Linked DNA regions of Canis lupus familiaris. The protein of the gene in region 1 interacts with the protein of each later gene in a pairwise test. Links are inferred from orthologs where the notes say so. Each region holds a gene or a part of one and is shown on either strand. Other genes may lie near its edges.

Region 1 (3,652 bases):
ACATCAATGACTTGGATGCCTGAGATGGAAAACACTTTGGAAAACTTTATTTAGCCTAATTAAGTGGGTATTTCTCAAACCTCACTACCAGTGCACAGCTTTCTATAAAGAGCCTTTGGATGGTAACTTCCTACTGTTATCAAACAGTAGGAAGCCCTCCATAAGCCCTCTTGCTTGCCCCTGCCCTACCCCTATTCAGTGTTGGCCTCCAATCTCTGTCCTCAGTTGGAGGCTTTCCTTAATTTTTCTTCCTCTTTTTCAAGTTTTTATTACAAAAGTCTCTTTCTTGCCTTGCCATCTACTTTATCTTCCTTTTTCTGTTCCCTAATTACCAATTTTTTTTCTTAAGATTATTGTTAATAAGAATTATCTCCTTATGTACAATGGAATCAAGATTCTCATAGTTACCAAAAAGATACACAAAAACAGAGATCCCTGGGTGGCTCAGTGGTTTAGTGCCACCTTCGATCCAGGGCATGATCCTGGAGACCTGGGATTGAGTCCCACGTCGGGCTCCCGGCATGGAGCCTGCTTCTCCCTCTGTGTCTCTGCCTCTCTCCTTCTCTCTCTCTGTGTCTCTCGTGAGTAAATAAATTAAATCTTAAAAAAAAAAAAAAGTCTAGCTGGGGAGGTGGTGTTACAGGGGAGTGATGGACGTTGGATGTTTAGAGTCTATTTTCATCCCTATTTTCACTATCTCTGTGACTGGGTCTAATTACTTCACTTTTCTGCACTTTAGTTTTCTTTCTGTAAATGAGAAAGTTGTCAAGTGATTTTTAACAGTGTTTGCTCCTCACTTTTGTATGGACTCAACGATTACTTATCCAGTGCCTGTTGTGTGCCTGGCACTGTTATGAAATGCTGGCAAGGGACGCCTGGGTGGCTCAGTGATTGAGTGTCTGTGTTTGGCTTGGGGTGTGATCCCAGAGTGCCGGTATCGGGATCAAGTCCCACATCAGGCTCCCTGCATGGAGCCTGCTTCTCCCTCTGCCTATGTCTCTGCCTCTCTCTCTGTGAGTCTCTCATGAATAAATAAATAAAATCGTAAAACAAAACAAAACAAAACAAAACAAAAAAACCCAAAACCCCGAAATGCTGGCAATACAGTAAACAACAAATGGAGTAGTTTCTGCTCTCAATGATGTTGTTCTATAACAAGGTGTGGAATGTCTGTCTACCCCACAGGTAAGAGAAATAGTAATTTGAAGGGCAGCTGAGTTCCAGTCCTCGCTTTATGTGATTTAGGTAGGACCTTTACAGGTTATTCATTCATTCATTCATTCATCCCCTAAAGATTTACTTATTTGAGAGAGAGAGAAAGAAAGAGAATCCCAAACAGGCTTCCTGCTGAGTTCGGAGCCTGAAGCAAGGCTCAATCCCACAACTCTGAGATCATGACCTGAGCTGAAACCAAGAGTCAGATGCTCAACCAGCGGAGCCACCAAGGTGTCCCAAGATCTTTATAAATCATTTAAATGCTTTGTTCCTTCTTTTTCTCATCTGTAAGATGAAGATAGTGATATCTAAACTATTTACCTTATATGGTTAAGACTCAACGTGTGTGGAAATGCATTGAATATAGTGGTAATGTACAATGTGTTGCAATGTCTATAGTAATGTAAAATGTAATTGTACTTTGCTATAGAATTTCACATGGAATTCATTACAGCTTGGTTGAGAAACTTCTAGATTAACTTAATTTTGGAATTCAGAGGTACTTGAAGAATATAAAGTATGTTTGTTTTTCTTCTCTTCACAGAAAAAGATAATGCTAAATATGTTTTTAGACACGATGATGGCCGATCCTCCTCCCCAGTGCCTTGTCTGGCTACCTCTCATGCATAGGCTTGCCCACGTTGAGAATGGTAAGCAGAACTTTTGTCATTCAGTCTCGAGCTATAGGCAATATATGAATTTCCGGAGATTTGACCCATATCTTTGTCTTGCTTGGAATTGAAATGGTAGTTATCTCCAGTAACTTCTTAATTTTTTCTTTTTTTGTTATCGGTTTATCTCCTTGTTTAGCTTGTGTGAGTTTGATAAAGGAAAGGCTGTAGTTTTTATGTAACCTCCTCCTTTCTCTCAAGGCTCTTGGTGTTTCCTATTCTACCAAAGAGAACCAGTAACAGCTGAGAGGTGCTAAAAAGCCAAGCTCTCTTTTTCCCCTTTGTAAGCATGAAATACACGTCCACACTGTCTTCTCTCTCTCATCCATGCCTTTTATTTTTATGTTTTTTTTTCTTTATTTATTTATGATAGTCACACACAGAGAGAGAGAGAGGCAGAGACACAGGCAGAGGGAGAAGCAGGCTCCATGCACCGGGAGCCCGACGTGGGATTCGATCCCGGGTCTCTAGGATCGCACCCTGGGCCAAAGGCAGGCGCCAAACCGCTGCGCCACCCAGGGATCCCGCCTTTTATTTTTAAACCTCTGAGCCTTTTGCCCCACTGTGGCTTTAGTTCACAGCTACCTTAGATTCAGGATTATTTTCTGAAAGGTGTAGACTCTCTTGACTAAACTAAAACAGTTAAAATTAAAAAAAAAAAGGATTTTACTTATTAGAGAGGGAGGGAGAGAGTACAAGCCAAGATGGGTGAAGGAGGGGCTAGGAGTGTGAGAAGCAGGCTCCCTGCTGAGCAGGGAGCCCTGACTTGAAGCTCCATCCCCAGACCCTGAGATCCTGACCCGAGGGAAAGGCAGACCAAACACTTGACCCACTGAGCCACCTAGGCACCTCAGCAACTAATTTTTTTAACTGGATTTTTGGATAGAGATTTATATCGTTAAGTTATTATAGTATTATTGGAGTATTATTGGCTCTTTTGGAGGCAATACTTTTAAAGCCTGAAGTGTTTTAGGACTTTTATATTCAGTTTGTTTTATAAAATCATTTTGTATCTGCCATACCATATAGAAAGAATCTCATTTGTCCTGATTTTTGTTATCCATATGAACATTTTATTGTGACTTTGTGTATAGTATTTATTGATTACATTCTTATGGGGTTAGTGATATTTTTCTCAGCTACAGAGAAATAATATGAACTCATTGACATATCTTGAAAATAAAACATTTTATCTATCACAATAACATTTACCTACATATCTTAATTTTTATGTTAGGGAAATAAATTCTAAAATTGTGGTATTTCTATATGGTATTGTAGTTTGGGCTCTTTCTATGAAATTCATCACTTGAATTATGTTGAAGTAACTATAGGGTAGATATCTACACAAAAATTGTGCTTTTTATATTGGTTTACTAATCCAACTATATTGTTTATAAGAAGATTACAACATGATGCATTCTTCCAAAAAGAATACTTTTACCAAAACCTGATCTTATTTGTAATTGACCCAGTACACTTAGTGATCCTCTCCACATTCTGGTTCTTTCCATATCCACCTGGTCAGCCCACTACACAGTCTAATACAAGCACTGGCTCTTGACTGGTATAGAAGTGAAGAAGAATTACACAGATATATATACATGTTCAACCAAGATTATCAGAATGTACTTAATAATTTAATATTAATGTACATATATTATTTAATATCAATAAAAATTATTGTATAGAATTATAAATGCTGGTATGTTGATGTTGACTCTGTTGATGTGAGCTCTAGATTGATTTGGAAATAGTGTTATTTG
Region 2 (3,765 bases), on another chromosome or scaffold:
ACAAGCATAGTAAATAAAAAATACATTTTTCAAGTACCCATGAAACATAAATGAACACTGATAATTTAAGAGAAAATATCAATTTCAAAAGGTAGAAATATTTTATTTTCTGATTACAATGCAAAAGGCAGAAATTAATTACCAAATCAGGGAAAAAACTTCCCTTATTGTGAAGATTAAAACATTATCTTAAGTGATGGTTTGAGCCAAAGGTGAAATAGCAACAAAATTTGGAACTTAAGACATAGAATGAAAGCAAAAGGGCAATTACTAGCTTCTATGAATTAGAAAAGGTGTTCCTTCTTCAAGTAGAAAAGAAAGATGGTTATTATCTTCAGACAGCCAAGAGGCAACAGCTCTGAGCCCAGCCGGCTGGAAGATGAGCACGAGGCTCAAGGAAATTAAAAGCAGAGTGAGTTGGTAGCTATGAAAGAAAAAAGCATAAGCTTGTTTTCTCTAAGGCAAATAAAAAAAAAAATCCACAAAGCCTACTAGAGTGTGAGTTTCCCCTTAATATTGGAAGCAAAATTGTAGTTAGTAAAGTACTTGCTAACAAGACTTTGAAGGCCAAGAAAAAGGCTCACTTAAGGAATGTTTTCTTTGAATTTAATATTCTCAAGGTCCTGACTCTTAGGCTAAAAGACAAAGCCCACTACAGGATTTAATTGATTAAATTGATTAAATGATTACAATTTTATATCACCTGTAAATGAATCAGGAGCAAGCTTTTACTTAACCTGTCTTAAAGGATGCTTGTATTTGAAGCCAAGAAAAGTCCCAGTTTGTGATTGCATTAAGAAACCATTCAGATATTCTCTTTTTACTGCAGTAAAATATTTTCTTTTCTTTTTTTTTAAGATTTATTTATTTATTTATTCATGATAGACATAGAGAGAGAGAGAGAGAGAGAGGCAGAGACACAGGCAGAGGGAGAAGCAGGCTCCATGCAGGGAGCCCGATGCGGGACTCGATCCCGGGACTCCAGGATTGCGCCCTGGGCCAAAGGCAGGCGCCAAACTGCTGAGCCACGCAGGGATCCCCCTGCAATAAAATATTTTCAAATGGAGCGATTTTTAAAATTATTTCTCTAAACTCACAAAAACACGCAATACTTTTGGGTTCTGCTTTCTTTTATGGTAACATCTCTCCTAGAATGGGATCAATAAGCTCCAGGTGCTATGAAAGTCCAGGGAAGATTTCTCACACCATGCACTTCGGTGGTAAAACAAAACAAAACAAAACAAAACAAAACAAAACATACTTCAGTTGAGTTTGGGTTTGTAAGTAGTGGAAATGACATAGGGAGGTCACGGAATACAGTTAGAACAAGTTGAATAAAAACCTAGAAAAGTAGGGAGGGAAAGGACAGGCATAAAGATCTTTCTGGGCAGAAGACTAGGAATAGTTCAAGGTTGGTTTTGATTCATGAGTCACTGGGCAGGGGTTTAAGGGGCTTCTATTGTGACAAAAAGAAACAGAAGCTGGAGATAGGCTATGATAGTACAGTGACAAAATAAAGACCTAGTTGCTAGGGTCAGGGAGTAGACACCAGAAGCTTGGAGAAGGACAGATGGAGCCCTAGCTCCTGGTCCCCTTTCTCACCCTCCTTCCCCCCTAGGTCATCTGAAATGTCACCTTTCACCTAATCATCATCTCCTTGGTTTCAGACCTTAACTCTGGTCTCTCGACTTCTGCTTAGTTCCACATTCTCTACCCTTTTGCAAAGAGGACTACCACATTCTCTTCCTGGAGACTTTAAGGCTTTTCTGCTTGCCACATGCTCTAATCACCAGCCCCTCCTAACTCAGCTGAGATGGAAGTGTCCACCCTCTCCAAAACTCTTAAGCCAACTCCCGGTCTCAATCAAGAGTCTTTGGGCCCTAGGATTATCCTTGCCTTATTTGAAATTGGATCACTTCCTCCTGTCTCCTGGTGTTTTCTCCCTTCCCCAAACAATAGTGACCATCAAGTAGCTGAACAACAGACTGCACAGAAGTTTGAAAATCTCTTAAAAGATATTAAAGATATCATTAAAAATGTGACAAGTAATGAAGAAAAGATCACAGAAGTCAAAGATTCTTTTGAGGAAATCAGTATTTCTGAGGATGTGTCAGAACTTAAAGAAAAAATCAGAGAACTTGATAAGATAAATGAAGTGTTATTGAACAACCTGCTTGGTTGCTCAGACCTAGAGAAAGAAGAGAATGCAAAAAAACAGATGATAGTGGAAAACCAGAACTGTAAGGACACGGTACAAGTCTTTAGAAGTGATTTGGTAAATTGTTCAGAAGAAAACAGAGCCCTTGATGAAACTCAGTTAAGTAAGGAAAAAGCAAAATATAGACTCCCTCATGTTCAAGAAGAAAATATCAAACTTAGGAACAACATGGAGCAGTTACTACAGGAAGCAGAACACTGGAATGTGCAACATGCTGAGCTCAGTGAACTAATAAGAACATATCAGAAATCTCAGAAAGATATACAAGAAACTCTTAAAAATAATGGAGCACATTTCCAAACTCAATCAAATGAGAAGGTGTCAGCTCAGCATGAACTGGAGGAACAAGTGAAAAAACTGGAACATGACACATATTCATTGCATTTGATTTCAGCTTTGCTGGAAAATGAATGTCAGATCTTACAGCAGAGAATAGAGCTTCTCAAGGAACTCCATCATCAGAAAGAGGGAACTCTGCAAGAGAAGCCAATTCAGAAAAACGGTGAAAAGGACAAGAAAAAACAGAAGCTATCAGCAGAGCATAAGCCAAAAATGCAAGAAAAAGAGGGTACATTTCAGAAAAAAGACAAATTCTACAGAGGCCTGGATGCTGGTAGCAAGAAAGCGCTTAATAACCACTTCAATACTCATATTGCAAGAGGAACTCCTGTGGAAAAATCATCCAGCAGCCTAACTTAGAAAATACCAAAAGTAGAAGAAAAGGCAATTCTTCAAAAACTGTAACACATCAACTCTAGGCATAATCAATCATCAAACCTAGGATAGATCTGCTGGTTTGACAAGAGTAAACCATAGAACAAGAAGATTAACACTTAGATTATTCATTACCTCAGTAGTTATGTAAGTTTGGTGTTTCATGACCATTAGTGCCAGTATCAAGTTCATAACCTGTCGTACAATTTGCTTGTTTTTTGTATTTATTAGAGATCCTATGACACTGTAACCAAGAGGGAGAAGTTATAGGTCCAATTAATAAAGATCTAAATAAAAACTAGAATAAAAATGAAAAGTTTGTTTTATTTAATCATTTACTGGGTAAGGGGAATTCTGGGAGGAAAAAGTATATGACCCTTTTATTGTGAACCTTTAAAGCTCATGATTGAAATGCATGTTTCCTTTTCCTGTTATCTACTGAAGTGTGGGAAGTAGTGACGTAAAGAAGAAAAAAAATGCTGATAAACCAACCCAGAGTAGTTTTTCTCTTCTCATAAGTGTCCCCATTCCCTAAGTACTGTTTTTCATAATATTCCTCTCCTGCTCCTCCACTAGTGAACAGTGGGCATACCAAGCAGCAGAGGCCCTTGGCGAAGGATACGTCAGTTGGTTTAGAAGAATAGATGTATATCTAGATTTTGTTCTGTGTTGGCAAAATTCTTCCCATTCCTCCAGGTGGGGATAGTAGAGTTACCCAAGGGAAAAAGCAGTATTTTCTATTGAGGGACCTGGGCTTCTGGGTCGCCTGGGTGCCTCAGTGGTTGACTGGCTGCCTTCAGCTCAGGGCGTTATCCCGGGGTCCCAGGATCGAG

What was found. The genes of interacting proteins can lie anywhere in the genome.
Region 2: the proteins of DTNB (region 1) and SPZ1 interact in binary tests that used the Homo sapiens proteins (3 or more experiments, as listed by UniProt). The two-hybrid records come from large-scale screens. The link is inferred for Canis lupus familiaris from reciprocal best matches to the Homo sapiens genes DTNB and SPZ1.

What each region holds. Positions count from the first base shown.
Region 1 is NC_049238.1:19,846,907-19,850,558, reverse strand, and holds part of DTNB (dystrobrevin beta), read left to right. Parts: intron 1-1,759; coding exon 1,760-1,865; intron 1,866-3,652.
Region 2 is NC_049224.1:26,863,752-26,867,516, reverse strand, and holds SPZ1 (spermatogenic leucine zipper protein 1), read left to right. Parts: upstream 1-1,539; 5' UTR 1,540-1,813; coding exon 1,814-2,917; 3' UTR 2,918-3,248; downstream 3,249-3,765. UniProt on the Homo sapiens protein: Transcription factor that binds to the DNA sequence 5'-CANNTG-3'(E box) and the G-box motif. May play an important role in the regulation of cell proliferation and differentiation during spermatogenesis.